3 linked regions of the Caenorhabditis elegans genome follow. The protein of the gene in region 1 purifies or fractionates together with the protein of each later gene. This does not show direct contact. Each region holds a gene or a part of one and is shown on either strand. Other genes may lie near its edges.

Evidence for each region.
Region 2: the proteins of ceh-6 (region 1) and egl-27 purify together in Caenorhabditis elegans (affinity purification with western blotting, with the first as the bait; one study listed by BioGRID). This does not show direct contact.
Region 3: the proteins of ceh-6 (region 1) and sem-4 purify together in Caenorhabditis elegans (affinity purification with western blotting, with the first as the bait; one study listed by BioGRID). This does not show direct contact.

What each region holds. Positions count from the first base shown.
Region 1 is NC_003279.8:8,497,612-8,504,332, reverse strand, and holds ceh-6 (Homeobox protein ceh-6), read left to right. Parts: upstream 1-1,728; 5' UTR 1,729-2,072; coding exon 2,073-2,246; intron 2,247-4,245; coding exon 4,246-4,700; intron 4,701-4,920; coding exon 4,921-5,023; intron 5,024-5,114; coding exon 5,115-5,249; intron 5,250-5,295; coding exon 5,296-5,397; intron 5,398-5,739; coding exon 5,740-5,913; 3' UTR 5,914-6,221; downstream 6,222-6,721. UniProt on the Caenorhabditis elegans protein: Vital for embryonic development and essential for the proper function of the excretory cell. Required for the transdifferentiation of the Y rectal epithelial cell to the PDA motor neuron during larval development.
Region 2 is NC_003280.10:6,833,459-6,838,022, reverse strand, and holds the start of egl-27 (Egg-laying defective protein 27), read right to left. Parts: upstream 3,003-4,564; 5' UTR 2,943-3,002; coding exon 2,858-2,942; intron 2,569-2,857; coding exon 2,450-2,568; intron 2,437-2,449; exon of another isoform or gene 2,330-2,436; intron 1,397-2,329; coding exon 1,256-1,396; intron 172-1,255; coding exon 46-171; intron 1-45. UniProt on the Caenorhabditis elegans protein: Transcription factor which promotes stress survival and delays aging. Required for cell cycle progression and development of the mesodermal and endodermal embryonic lineages.
Region 3 is NC_003279.8:7,037,165-7,041,901, reverse strand, and holds the start of sem-4 (Spalt-like protein sem-4), read right to left. Parts: upstream 3,003-4,737; 5' UTR 2,995-3,002; coding exon 2,919-2,994; intron 1,262-2,918; exon of another isoform or gene 1,191-1,261; intron 1-1,190. UniProt on the Caenorhabditis elegans protein: Transcription factor, involved in positive and negative modulation of transcription. Binds to multiple DNA sequence motifs in the regulatory elements of target genes, including homeobox selector egl-5 and LIM homeobox mec-3.

The DNA.
Region 1 (6,721 bases):
ACATTTGAAAATGATTTAAAGCTAAAATTTAAAATACTCTTAAGAAGGCTCTTGAAGATGTATTTGGGTGCAATATTAATATAAAAAATACGGTATTCAACATTTACAAAAATCAAATATAAATGAAAACCAATATACTTAAATTTTTACATAAATCCAACTAGAGTACCATTGAAATATCTATTTCGGTTATTCACAACAAAAACTCGATTCTAACTGAGTAAAAGATCATCCGAAGACAAGCGGAAATTGGCACAAGCTTTCAATCCGGCTTAGAGGAAAGCGAAATTCGAGATTTATTGAGTGGGAAGATATGGGGAAAAGTGAGAAAACGAACATCTTGCAGCTGGAGTCATAGTTACAGAAATCAAGACAAAACTTTTTTTCAAACAAAAAATAAAAAATTTATCGCGTTAATTTTGATTGATTTCAACTATTACTTGCAGATTAATAAAGTTTTGGAATACTAAAAATCTTGAAAAGCATCCAGACTTAAAAATATGTATGGGACATTTGCCTTATTTTGATCTACATAGTCACACTAGTATGAATATACAATCAAATTATAAAACATGTGCAATAAAACATGATGGAACTTCAGAAAAAAAAACTGGGTTAAACTAAGTGATAGGTCAGTTTAAGAGGCACATTTTCAACCGGAACTTCTTGACAGTTCACAGCAAATTTGAAACCAAATTTTGCAACTTTAGCGATGGAAATGTCTAAAGGATATTAAACAGCGGCAAATTTTCAAGTTGAAAGAAACGAACTCGAAATCTATTTTCCTGAAATAAAAAATATAGAAGGAACCTATCAGGGAATATAACGTCGGTGAGGAAATGAGGATGAAAGTGATGGAAGAAGAGAGAAAGGGGTGCGGGAAGAAGAGTTGAAATTCATTGCTCATGCAAATCTTATGCCGTGTGTCTCTGTATGTATTTGTATGTGTGAGTGCCTTCTTTTTCCAACCATTCTCATTCTTCGCCACCCTCATTTTTGTCTGTTTCCTTTATTCAGTTTTCGATCGTCTCAAGATTTTTGAGAAATTTCATGAAATTCGCTAGGTTTTCGATTTTTTCTACCTTCCAGAAGTAATTTTTTATTTGAAATATGTGTATTGTGTAAAGTTTTCTTGTTAAAAACTTACGGTGTCAACTTCCAACTGCTTTGGGATATTTTATTGCAAACATACACTTCTTTTTTTGTCTACTTTTCTGTCAGAAGAAAAATATATTCGAGTATGAATAACCACTGAATTTACTGTATTTTTTTAGTTTACAATCGATGAAGTTTTCAGCTGTATGGAAAAAAGATGGAAAAGATTTTTCACCAGGTTGTCAATACGTAACGCTCTTTTGCCAAAATCTATTGAAATTATTACATAATAACTATTATTTTAATTGTTATCAAGCGTTGGCTTTTTAATTACCGTCTTTCCTCTAATAGCATTACACTGTATTGCTCAACTTTGGCACCTCATATCTAGATTGTCTTTGGGTTGATCAAAATGTTAGCAACTAACAAAACATTGGGTATTTATTATCTATAGTTTTGTAAAAAAAATAAGTTGTAAAATACTTCAAAAGAACCGAAAAATAGGCTTTCAAAAAGAATAGGCGGATGCAAGATTTTACGATTGTTTTGAAACTTAGAAATCTTCCAATAATGTGTTTCTATAACTTTCAACACCTCTTCAAATAACTCCAAATAAATAAATGTATTTCTAGACACTAAACCCATATCTTCACAATTCTACAGCATCAATGTCTCATGACAGTAGGCGTGACCATCTTTACAAACATATCAAAGAATGGGCGTGTCCTGATGTCAATTCTCGTCGATTGGTTATACGATTACGGTGGCTAGACGAGACGCAGAAAGACCGCTTTCCTGCCAACACATTCCAAGTGGCTCCCGTGTGAAAAAGAGACGCAGCAAAAAGGGAAACGAAGAAGAAGAAGACCGCCCCTCTTTTGACTACTACCTCTTCCTTTTCTCTCTTCATTTTCAACACACACATCCCATCTTTTCCACAGTAGTGGCCACCCCGTTGCTCCTGGACTTCCCAACTGATGCTCATACCTTCGTCGTCATCCATACCGTCTTCTTTATCTGCTTCAGCATCCGATTCTGAGCCATCATCACTGAACGGAAGTGGTATAAGTGATCAGAATATTCTACCTAATTATCATCTTCATCATCATCTAATTAACGAGAACGAGATGGAGGCAGCCAATTATGCACAGGTTAGTTCTTCTTTTTATTCGTTTCCTCCCACAACTGATTTGATTCTGATGAGGACGACATTATACAGCGAGTAGGTCCAAAAAAGGAGGCAAGCGGGGGGGGGGGGGCACAGCATTTGAATTTCAATTTTATGCCAATAAGAATCAGCCCCTCGACTGCCCCATTCAGTTCTTCTACACTTGTTGCCTCAAACTCTAACAGTGTCTTACCGCTGTTACAAAGTTGTATATTGTACATTGTTCTGATAGATTGTTATTTTCTAGGCATAAAGTAACATTCATCTAGAAAATTAGTTGAGCTGATACTCCTATATTTTAAGGTGTCTCTGATAGTACCTCAACTGCTTGTAGATCGACAAATGATGTAGTTGTTTCTTTCATTTGTGTTCTGAAAGTATTAGGTGGAACCGTAAACCCAGAATTCTGATGTTCCTGGCAGTATAAAACTTTTTATATCCTAGACATAAAGTGCCAAGCTTCTGTAATTTAGTTGAGCTAAAACTTCAATAAAGTATTGTTTAGATTAACTACTTGTAGGAATGATAACAGGTAATCTAAATCTATATTTTCACTGGCATTAGGCTTTCATTTATACAATGTTTATTTTGTTATAAAAATTGTGAACTGTAACTCCAGATTTTTGAAATTCTTACAGAGCAGTTTTTTCATTGTGAAACTAAAATAATTAATTTGAAGTTGAAATATTAAACATTTGCTATTATAACTATAAAAAGGTCTACTAAACCGTCAAATTGGAAAATTGATTTCGAAATAATGTGGGGACTAATAAAAACTGCAAAAATTGTTTGGTGAAACCTTACCTACTTTTAGGAATAATCAACAATGCATTTAACTATAATTTTATAAAACTCTTTGAAATTTTTCTCATTGATGTTTTTTAACTGCCAATGACTTGGTAAAAGAAGTATAGAAGGCTTAAGAAACATTTTGGTCCTTGGTCAGTCTAGAATTCATGAAATCGGAGCCGTAATTTTTCATTATACTGGTTTGTAATTATATCCTTTTTAAACACCTCAATCAATATTTGTATTATTTTCCTATTCACTAATGTACCTTCCAAATATCCCAGAACAATACAGTATCACTAACACGAACTGCACGTCATCACATATCATTCTCTCTGTAAAACTTGATGACTCTTTTTCAATCCGATTATCAAAATTTCCGCCCTTTCTTCTGTTTCTAGTACATCTCTCTTCATGTACACAAACTACTACAGTACCCCTTGAGTCTCTCAAAGATCGTTGCATTCGTCTGTCTCCACGTAGATACCATGTATAATAGACTCATGAGAATCTTTGTGGGAAACAGTTATCAACAATTCAATATTATTTTGTCATGTGTGGAGCGAAAACCAACAGAAAAAGGAAGAGTTGATGATGTACTAGAGGGTAGAAAATTGGCAGATGTAGTCCCTAAGAAGGCGCCGTGCTAAAGAGGATTAAGATTGATTGGCCTCTTTTTTTCTCTAAGCTGGGTGTTCATCTGTTCAAGACTAAATTGGATCGAGGCCAAAATTGTAGGGCCAGAAAATTGAACGATTTTATATAAGCAGTGAGGGATGAAATAAGAAGCTCCGGGAACATTGTCACAGTTCATCAGAATACTTTTATTTCATTAATATGGCTGAACTTTCAAAAATTACTCGAAGGAGCTGCGACCCATAATGATGTTACATACAATCGTCTCAATCGATTAGATTTCATAATGAGATATTAAAAATCCTGATTTATGTTGCAAATTTGAACTGTGTGTTCCGTTTTTTCACTGATTTTTCACTGAATATACTTTTTTCAATTGGTAGGCGCACATACCATTTTGAATCCTTTAAAACAAGGAAAGTTATATCTTTTATTTTTAGCACACTTTTTAATAGTTTCGGAACGTTTCTTATTTCAAAAATATTTAATAAGCTGTCACTCGAAGTACCACGTATTTTCAAAAACGACATTACAATTCTAGCTGCAAAATGTTTCAGGTTATCAAACCAACATGCGAGGCATTCCAAGATTGGCCGCATACTCCAATGCTGTATCAACAACCTCAACTTCATTTCATGCTTCCACAACACGATTGGGCATATCCACATCTTGCTCAATCTCTACCTCCTCCACATCATCTAACACCGTCCACTGCAGCAGTTGCTGCTGCAACAATTGCCTCACAAAGTTCAATAATCAATCAAACGTCTGTGGTTACAAGTACACCTTCGTGCCAAATCAAACAGGAAGTTGAACGACCTGAAATTATTCAGAGGTTAATGCCTCCATGGCCACCAGCTTATCAATTTTCTTGTGATGATAGTGGATCAGTGAGTGGAGCTGGTGGACCACATCAGCCATTATCTGATATTTCCGATGATAGTGAACAGACGTGTCCAGATGATTTGGAAGGATTTGCAAAACAATTTAAGCAGAGAAGAATCAAATTAGGGTGAGTGAAAATTTTAAATGTTCTCTACACATAACTGTAAAAAGTTAAACTTTTGAAAATAACAATTTCGATATCTCAAACATTTCGAGGCAACGTTCTGTCAACCAGCTGGTACAATGCCAAAGTTGGGCAGAAAGTTATCCTCAAATTCTGATCAAATTGGAATTTATCAGTTGGCAATTCCTCATATTCTTTCATTTTCATGTTCTTCAATTTCCAGATACACACAAGCAGATGTAGGTGTGGCTCTCGGAACACTCTACGGAAATATATTTTCCCAGACAACAATTTGTCGTTTTGAAGCGCTTCAACTCTCTTTCAAGGTTTGTTGACTTTCATCCACATGACTTTCAACGGAAACTGTTTCTTGTTGCCGACTTTTCTATGTTTTAATTGAATTTAATTTCGTTATAGAATATGTGCAAACTAAAGCCACTTCTATTCAAATGGCTCGAGGAAGCTGATTCAACGACTGGCTCGCCCAATTCTACATTTGAAAAAATGACAGGGCAAGCTGGAAGAAAGAGAAAGAAGAGAACAAGCATTGAGGTAGTTTGTGTTTAAAACTGAAAAATGTTATATACCGGTGTTTCAGGTCAATGTAAAATCTCGTCTTGAATTCCATTTCCAGTCGAATCAGAAGCCAAATGCACAAGAGATTACACAAGTTGCCATGGAGTTGCAGCTTGAGAAAGAGGTAAGGATATTTTTCTATTTTCCGGAATTTTTATTACTGTGAACTTCGAATTTTTTTTACAGTAACTTGACAATGATTTGAGATTTTGATTATTATGAATGAGATTTTGATTATTAATTCATTTAATTAAAGTGTTTCTCTACAAAAAAAAGTGTCCCAATAAAATATAAAGTTTAGGTTTAAGTTTAGTTTAGTACGGTTTAAATACCGTTAATTAAAATTGCAAATGTAGAGTGTGAAAAGGGTGAAGAATGAGGCAAGTGAAAGGGGCGCCTGGAGCAAGTTAAACGCCTACCTCATTAAATTTTTCTGAAACTTCACTTTCTCAAAAGTATAATTTAGGTTGTCCGTGTCTGGTTCTGCAATCGTCGTCAAAAAGAGAAGCGAATAGCTCCAAATCAATACGATGCTCCACATCCAATGGCTTTAAACAATGGATATCCAATGACTGCTGACCTTTTCCCATATCAAGCCGTCGTCAATCATTATACTCAACAGAGCCCGAGACAACAATAGTTTTTTGTGATGCGTATTGATGTAGCAGTAATATAATAATAATAATACTCAAATGAATCACCGGTAATTTATAATGACAGAAAGTTTAATAGTTTTCAAACATCCTTCTCTGAAGAAGACCAACAGTATTTCTTTTCCCCTATTATTTTTTTTGATACAATCCTCTTCACTTCTCACATCATTCTGAAAATGGGTATTCGTTTTTTACAATTATTAATTAGTTCTATTGTGTATCATTTCTAAATTAGTTTCCAAACTTTTTATTTTGTTCGAATTCATTTATTTTATAAATATCTGTACGTTAAAATGGAAGTAGCATATTTTAATTTAGATGTCTGCTGAATATAATTATATATAACTGTCTTTTTTCAGAGTAGGTAAAAATCAGAATTTAAAAAATTCAAAAAAGGAAATTTGATCTAGAGCATAAGCTTTCGAATAACTCATATAACTTTAAAGTTTTAAAAAAGTTCAAAATTTTCAATTTTGCAAATAAAACTGAAAATTACTGAATTAATGTATTTCTCAATTGGACTTGCACACTTTTGCTCTATTATGACAGCTGTATCCGTTATCATTGTCTCAGTTGTCTCTGCATTTATCAAAAATTGTCAACTGTAAAAAGACGTGCAAAATTTTTCTCTATATTTTAATTATTACAACTTTTTGATAACAGTTAAGACATCCGATAAAAGTCTATAAGTCGCCGAGCCGTTGGGGGAAAATCTACTAGAACAACTACGGTAGTTTTGAATTCCCGCACAAATGAATGACCTAGTTGTGGGAATTTCATAAAAATTAGAAATTT
Region 2 (4,564 bases), on another chromosome or scaffold:
AAAATAAATGTGAGTAATTCTGAAAATCTTAAAAATTAAACTAACTGGACATAAATGTGGATTGATTTCAAGCTCAGCTCGTTCTTGTTTCATTAAATTTAAAGATATCTCAGGTATATCGTCTGCTCTGAAGTACCTCGTAAGTTTCACTACCACGTGATCTCGTTTTGTCTGAAAATTGGTATTCTTTATTTTGTTTTGAAAAATATATAATCTCTTATCATTTTTTGAATACTATGTGTAGCCCTGTCAAAGGAATTTACCTTTTTTGATAAACTCAGTTTTCGGCTTTGAAAATCCAGAAGAAAAATTATCCCTGCGTTGTCAAAACTAGAAAATATTGTAATTTTGTTGCTCTTAGAATTTTGGCTTTAAAAACTAGTTATCCCAATTTCCTATTTAAATTCTAAAATAAGCTCATCAGTTGGTCACGTGAATGTGCTTTGTCAACAACAAAGAGGAACATTATGTTCTTCTCACAGCTCATAAAAGTGAGCAAACTTTCTACTTTTATTGTGTATACTAAAATGTATGTTTTTGTGATGATACTATAAAAGTGTTTGAATTAAAAAGTTTATGTTTTTTCACTTTCAATGCATTCTCTAATTCTCAACGACTTCCCGCGCAATCCGATTATGACACGGTTTTTAGTGGGTTCTGAAGGACGAACAAGTGGGCAAATGACTCAATGACATCTTCCTTATACTTTTATGTTTAAAAAAGTATTCAGTGCTATCAGTCGAAAGGAAAACATGAAGGGAATACATGAACCCACTAAAACTGTGTCAATATTTACACAAGTGCGGTTCTCTCCTCCTCTAAACCAGTAGTTCAAGGAACAAGGGAATGAAGAGATATAGAGAACAAGTAAATTGATAGTTGTTTGGAATTTGAGAAGAGGTCAGCAGAGATTATAAAGTATCAAAGAATCTCTAGTTTCAAAAAGAAAACCTCATTTTTCATTTTCCAAAAAGTTCAATTTGTCCTTAAACCCCCTTTTCTATCAATTTATTTCGAAATTGTCAAACATCACCCGGTTTCTCGCAACATTAATTTTTAAATGCCGAATTTGTTATCTTATCGCTACATTCACTGAGTGTTGCCCATTATATAAATATTTCATTGTAACACTGTGGAACGATTTGATCTATTGTGGTTCTGATTTTTGAGGAACAAGTTTCCAAGAAACAATTATTTCAAAAACCTTAATATGGCAGAACCATCTGCTGACATGCCTCACGATCTCATTACTCACATATTTAAATCCGCATATTGCCGCTATCACATACGGCTCGTTTTGTGACACTTCTACGAATACTGAATCTCGTAGCCTGTACAATGTGCCATCATGTGATTGAAACCCTTTTAGATCACTGTCTTGTCGATACCGGTATACCTGAAAAAATATGTTTAGTAAATCAGTAGATTTGTATGTTTCAAACTTTCAACTAACGATATTATATTAGAAACTAGTCTGTCTTATTTATCTTTCCGGTTTCTCTGTATCTTTGAGGTGAAATGAACTAGTGTTCACTTGTACTTGTCGTCTGCGTCTCTCCTCTCATTAGCTTCAGTTGTCAATTGGCACCTCGTCTCACACTAGGTCAATGCCAACTAACACTAAACTGTGAGAGAATGAAATATTATGAGCGCACATTTCAAAACAAACAAACAAATCATATAATGCGGCAAAAAATGTTTTTTTGTGTTTGTGTGTCTATTGTCGCATAGTATCTATCTTTTTAACTCTCAAGCGTCTCTTTTGTTTGTACTCTCTTGAGGGAAGAAGCATCTCTCTGGGGTCTCCGAAAACTTCTGTTGACTTTGCTTTCCTTGCCAGCCAGAAAAAAGCAATTGTCTCGAATTTCAGATCAAAAATTGGGCAGCTGTTTTTGCCTCGCTTCGCTTTTTTTTGGAAAACATGCGCACAATTCGAGGAAGTATGCTGCCGACTGACAACTAATCTAGTCAAAGTTCAATTTTCAATTTTTGACGAAACGAGAAGAGAGGTCACTTCGGTTTTTTTTTCGGCTCGCGATCTTCTCAGTGTTTGACTATCTGGTTCTTCTCGATTTGAAGCTCGCAATGTGTGTGTGTGTAAGCGCAATGTTTGAGGTTTAGCCATCAAAACGTTTCGCAGAAAAAACGGGTGAAAAAAGATTGAAATCCAGGTTTTTGTCTATTTGTAGCGATGTTCGTCTAATCGGGAGAGAATTTGAATTATGACCAGCGTCTCCTCTTCCTTTTGACCTCCCCTACACACTAAACTGCCTAAATGTCTGTGTCTCTTCCAAAAACTCGACAGAACGACAATTAATTGGTTTTTCGAGTGTTGAGATATTGAAGGGGAAGAAGATACGCATACATAAGATGTCTATTCAGATTATAACTATTAAAGAGTACAGGAAATTACTCAAATTTCAGATTTTTGAATTAAAAAATGACTTACTATTCCACGGCAATTCCTATCCGATTTGCCTGTAAGACTATAATAACATGGTTCAATATCGTAATGCTTTTGGGAAAATTCTGGTTCGTCATCGTTTTCCATTGGGGAAGAAACGCCGTCTGAAATTTGATAATTTATATTTTAAATTATTTCAAGTAGGCGGTCTTTAGAATCTAGATCACACAATCAAAAGTTACAAAAAAGAATTGCCGCATGTGTCTTCTTATGTGTTCGTACATTTGTTCGACTAATCCGCTAAGCGCTAATCCGCAGCGAGAATCATAACATTTTACGCTGGTGAAGATGGGGCCATCTTTCTAAAAGAACGGCCCCCACTGGGAATACCCGTATCTAGGTTGACATGACATACAAGAAGACACAGAGACGGTTCAGTTACAATTTCATTACCTTGGCTATCCTCAGATGACGACGGCACACATTCGTCCTCTTTGTTGACGTCTTCACTACTGCACTGGCTGTCAAAGCGGCTCATCTTTGTCTTGTTGCCTTTTTTAGTTTTTCCAGTTTGCTCCCCCAAAAATGATGAACTATCCTAAAGAATTGGTCTTAATTTGAATCATTGAGAACACACGAAAATCAGCTGGATAAAAAATGAAAAGATGAGATGAGAGAGGAAGATGGTGATGAAAAGCACAGAAGTTCTTTTTTCTTTCCCTCCGGAACCCTCTAGAGCCTAGTAAAAACACAAACTAGAACAGCACCGAGGGATAGAAGAAAGGAAGACGGGAGAGAGGAAAGGGATGAAGACGGGGTGGGGTGTGGGAGTGGCGTGGGGCGGGCGAGGGTCGTCGTCGTCGGTTAGTGGGGCACATACACAGAGCACATACACGACTGGTCCGTTAGGAAAAGAGACATTGGCGGCATCGCCGTCGCACCGCATTCATCAAATATTTTGGTGTATTTAGCAGCAGGAGCAGGACCACCGAGCGCCAAGGAATCTGATTGACTCGGAAGATCCATTAGAAGTCAAATACAACAGTAATTGGTAACACACATTTTCTAACTTACACAAATCAAATCTTTTCAAGAACTTGAATTGTTCACTATTTTCACAATCAATTAAGATCACAAGAGAAAATGTTTACTTAACTCAAGAACTTGATCAAACTTCATAAAATCCTTCAAAAACCTTCAAGCTTAATAAATTACTGTAACTCGTCATACGTTCGCACCTACTTAGCGCATACTAACAGATGATAGTAAATCGCAACATCATCCATTAAACGACTTGTCTTGTCCAGCATGTCGCTCAAAAAAGTCAAGTGATGATAAGAAAGAGGAAGAACGACAATTGTCAAGAAGGGGCAAGGTGTAGGAAAAGAGCTCAGTTTTCACACGTGACCTCGGCTCAACTTTCAGAATGAGTCCTGAAGTCTAGATCCTAGTGGACACTGTACTCACATTCAACTACCATAAGAATTGGGGAAAAATAAGTGTGTGTGAGAGAATGAGAACTGTAAAACAGACGCAGAGAATAGTGCTAGTACATACCACAAAAAGGTGGAATAGTCGGTGGAAGGGGGAGGACGGTGTGGCGGGAAGGGAGGAGAGGTAGTCACCGAAGGAAAAGAGAGAGAGAGAGGTAGAGAGAGACAACCCGAGAGACGAGACAACCGATGTATGTTTGCGATCAAAAACAGTTCGACGGTGACAGTGACGACCTCAAAGCAGACCGCCACTGTGTCTTGGCTTTCCATGACGTGGCAACTTTTTCAAAATATGAAATAACTCATTACAAGTGTTGTTGTGCTCTTTCATTCAACCAAACAGTGAGGAACGATGAATTATAAGAGAAAGGGGGAACGGGGGATTAGCCAGAATTGAATAGAAGAGGATGACCTGCTAATGACAATATGGCAAACAAGATGAGAGTCTTATGAATATCATTTGAACATTTTGAGAATCAAAGAACTGGCAACATTTCAGATGTTTTCTTTTTCCAAAATTTATTATGATACGACAGCCATTTTCACACAGTTCGTAATGTGCATAATAAAAATACAAAACGTGGGAGAGACCTGATGGTTGGTGGTCAGGTCAATTGTCAGGCTAGACAAACATAAATGAAAGACTCATGGGTGGGAGGAGACTAAC
Region 3 (4,737 bases), 1.5 Mb from region 1:
ACGACAACTTCAAGTATTTAGATCAAAAGATCCAAAGTAAATCCTGTTTCTTCAAAAAACACTGGAAGCAACAAATTTTGAACTTTCTAGATATCTTCAATTGTTTTAATATAATTTTGGGTAACCACACAAAATGTCGCTGTACATTAACTGTATAAAGTAAATTTCAATTTGAAAATTTTTAAAGTGAATGATTCATTTCTTTGAGAACTGGAAGACTGCTCAAAATTGGATATTTTTAGGCTTTAATTTTTTTAAATTAAAATTTCCAAAAATATTCCAAAATGTTTGCATACCCCTAGAGACCTTTACAATTATAATTTTTTCCGAATTCAATTTAAGAGCAAAATTACGGTCCTCCAAAGTAGTAGTAAATAGACTCGAAAAATCTGCTCTCAAAAAAATTTCAGCTGAAAGTTAAAACAAAAAATCTCGTCAAACTGCTCGGAAAATCAACGATATTTCTTAACCAACTTTAGCGTTTTTCTAGGTGCCATTTACGGAAGTGGCCGAAGTTGGCGAAATTTGGCTGAGAATTTGGTGACGAGTTGCCTTTTGCAGCTGAAATCTTTCAATTATCAGATAGTACTGGATTCAAAGGAACTACCCAAACTTTCGTTCGAGGCGAGAATTACATGACGCTATCTATTTTCAGTTTTGAACTGTTTGATTGTGCAAATATCGTAATTGAGCCCCTTAAAATAAAGTACTCTGGTAACTGCAACTCATGAGCAAAAACTCAAAAACTCTTCATTTTTATCATCTTATCTGTGTGCGAGTCAGTTGGTTTGATATCATCCATTCAATAATAGTCTCATTCATTCTCTTCTCACGCGCTCATAAAGAGTCCTCCAATGTTAATGAGTGTTATCCAAACGCTCCTCCTCCCCAAATATCTTTTTTTTCAACTCATCTACCTCTGCTACCATCAAAAATCCATAAAATATATGAGATGATGATACTCTGCTGGTCCTCAAATACACACTCTCACACACACATTGTGACACACACACATAATGTTTCAATTTTCGTCTCCATCGTCCAACCAATTCATATTGCTTGTTGAAGGAGGAAGCTCTGATATTGCACACTATTTCTCTCGTATTACACAAAAACACTATAATAAATGATCGAGTTTCGAGGGGAGAAGACCCACAGAAGAAGAATTCTGATTCGCAACAACAACGTCTTCATCCTGCCACTCTAAACTTCTTTTGTGTTCGATCATAAATTCGATTTTATGATGGCTCGACTCGACTCGTGTCGAAGGCGGCGGCTCGCGGACCTCGAACACAATAATGTTGCCACTTGAAGCACAAAAAAGAGAGAATCAATAAGGCTTTCAATAGAAAAAAATAATAATGGGCTCAGCCAATGGAAGAATCAGCAGAGAGATGAGATGACAATAAGTCTCAAGTCTCACACACAAGAGCACTTGTTCGTCACAAAAAATGATTTGTGAAGATGAAGCCGAGAGCTGATGGTGGTGGTTTAGAGACAACTGATACCGGAAATTATGATACAAATGATACACTTCTTTTCTCAAAGATGAATATAAAATTTTTTTGAGCATACGTGCCTGCAAGGCAACCTCGGCCTAATAGTAAGCCTATATATCTTTAAATAAAAAAAGGTTAATCTTAAATTTCAACATGTTTATAGAAAATATACGACTGTAAAATTTGTATGCACATACACAGGCAGAAAGTACCAAGAAATATTCTGCATACAAAGTCATGCTCTAAGAGACTGGGTCTTCACATTCATCGAATTGTCAACAGCTGTTGAAATGTTTGACAGTACTGAATGGAAAATTAAACTTTTATTGTCACAGGTGAAATATTTGTGAAACTCGTTTTGGTTAACATTATCTACTAAAAACTTTCAAAACAAATTTCAGTCTTGCTCTTTGAGCTGGACACCAAGTTCAAATTGTCAAATTGTCATCCCCTTTTCAACATGCTCTCATCCTTTCTCTCTCATGTCTGTCTGTCTCAGAACTTGCCAAATTGATTGGTTTTCTTTTTCTCCGAAACTCTTTCTCCCTTCCCCTTGCACTCCCATATTTGGACATTTTCTCTCTCTCTCTCTCGTTTCTCTGCTTTCTTGCTCTTTTTTCTCTCTCACTTTCTCCTCATAGTCGCTTATGATTGGATGGAAATGTGACGGAGGGGCGGAGCAATATGAAAAGATGAATGGAAATATAATAAGTGTCTCTGGTCTTCGGGAGGAGCTCTTTGGACTACGGTAGGTTTTGATTGGTTATGATTGAAAGAATCGAAGGAAAAGCATTGAAAAAACACTAAAAATGAGGTAAGAAGATACGAAAGAGATAGAGATAAGAGATATGTTATCATATTTGACAAGGTTCTGTGTTGGAAACATTTTAATGAAAAAGTGTTCCTTGAAGTGGAACAGATGTGACAGATTTCTCATTAAAACTTAAAAAAATGAATGAACGAGAAATATATGATAAATTATATTTAAATGAAAATGCCAAACTAGGATGGTTTTGGTAATATTAATTTTTTTTTAATACTGGTTTTCTAGCAAATGTCTCGTCCGAAACTATTCGAAGTAATATGAATAATATTGATAAGTTGATAAGAGGAATTGACATTAAAATTGTAAATTTACACCAATTTATTGTCTCCTTCCAATTTTCATTACTTATGTCCCAAAAACCCATAAAAACTAGTGATAACTGGTTTTTCTAGAAAGTCTAAAAACCTTCAAAAATGTAGAACTAAAATGATTTTGAAACATTCCAAAAGTGCGTTTTAAGTTTTAATATTCAACTTTGTTATTTTCGCAGAAAATTTCAAGATTTCAAGGTCGATCATCATCGCCTTGTTTCATTTTCTTGTCTTTTACTTCATTAAACACCCCGCATTTTCCTCTCATTTCCCTCAACTTACCACCAGACATTCGACGTGGTTTTGACTGTTTTCTGCGGGATGAAACCGCGGCCATCTCGGCGAGCAGCTCATTCATCTGGAGCTCTGAAAAGTTGAAATTACTAGAAGATGAGCATGATAGGCAAAGAATGAAAGAGTAATAGTGGACAAGAAGAGGGAAAAAAGCAGAGAAAAGGATACAAAACAACACACACAGAGAAAAGAGACAGAACAAAAACGATTTATATTAGAAAGATGAGAAGGCGACGGGACAAGGGGGCACATATTGCGAAAACAAGGCTATTATCAAAATTTATATTATTAGAGTAAAATGGTAAAAGTATTGAAGACACGAGATGGCAGTAAGGGAATGGGAATGGAATTCAATTGACGATAAAAAATTGAACTTTAAAATAGAGTCATTAATCATAAATGATATTGCTCGAATGAGCTAGTTATCGAGCGGCGAGCCTATAGTCTAAATTTGCCCATAATGCATTTTTGGAATGAACATTTTTGAATTATGCACCGGCTCGCCATTTGTCTTTGCAAAAGTTACGAAATACTTGGTTATATGACTGGGTTTAGGCCGCACCCAGATTCAGCCCAAAATTGATCTAACTCTTTTCAGCGTCTCAGCCAAGTTTAAAACGATACAATACAAGTTTCACAACAGCTAGATAAAACGTGAGTTTAATTTGGGTACATCATAAACCAGGACTTTCTCAAGTTTGCCCCGAGCTTTGTCAGTTTTTGAAAGAGTAATTTTTGGATCAACCATAGGCAATCAGTTCGCGCCAAATGACGAGTATAGCCGCAGAAGAATCTTGAATCGGATGATTTTTTTCGAGTGTAAATATGAAATTTTGTTGTTCATGGTTGGGTAAAGAAAGAATATCTCAAAAAATGATCAGGGGAAGGTAGTGAGTGATGATGTGAGTAAGTGAGGGTGTAGAAGATGAAAATCGTATAAAATGAGTGAGTGAGCGGTTCCCCTTTTCCATGAGGTGGATACGGTGTTGCAATTGAAATAGTTGGAAAAAAAGGATGGAAAAAAGATCGGATCGGTATGAATATAAAGTGCGAGATGCGGTTGAAGATTCCGTTAAATTTGGTGGGGTCTGAGTTCTGTTTGTGTGTGTTCTACAGGCTTTTCGGATTATGAGTCATCAGATCTTGTAGACTAGAATTATTTTAGGTTGAGTTGTAAAGTTTGATTTCTAAATTTAGATAGGAAATGAGGATCGGACGTTTTCAGATACAAGCCTTAGTGCAAAGCTAACCCAGAAATTTGTTATAGATACATATATCGCTATAAAGTGACAGTGTCCCTTTCTCGCAAATTGTGGCGTCACAATTAGTTTCTAGTACAAATCATTTTTAAAAATCATGCTCGACGCCAGACTACAGAAAAAATGGTTGCTCCGTCTTGCAGATGTTAAGCTTCTGTAAGTGAGCTCTGAAAGGTGTTAGCTGAGATATTAAAAATAACATGGCAGGTTGAAATTGTTTTATGTGAAAATGGAACTACATTATTGAAAGTTCTCAAGAAAGTCTCAACCTCAGAACTTGACTAAAAAAGCAGAAATTTCTAAAAATGGCAAATCAATGAATGAATAACTGAATTACTTGCATGATTTGTTGAATGATTGATAAAACACTAATTGAATTAATGAACACAGTCAACCCCAGAAAAAGTCTTTTTTTTTCTCTCTTCATCAGAAGACGTCGTCGATGATTCGAGACGAATTTGATGATAATTGTCACCCCCGTGGTGGTGGTGGTGAGGGGAGACATATTCGATTCGATTCGCGCCAGGTACTCATTCTTGTACCTGACG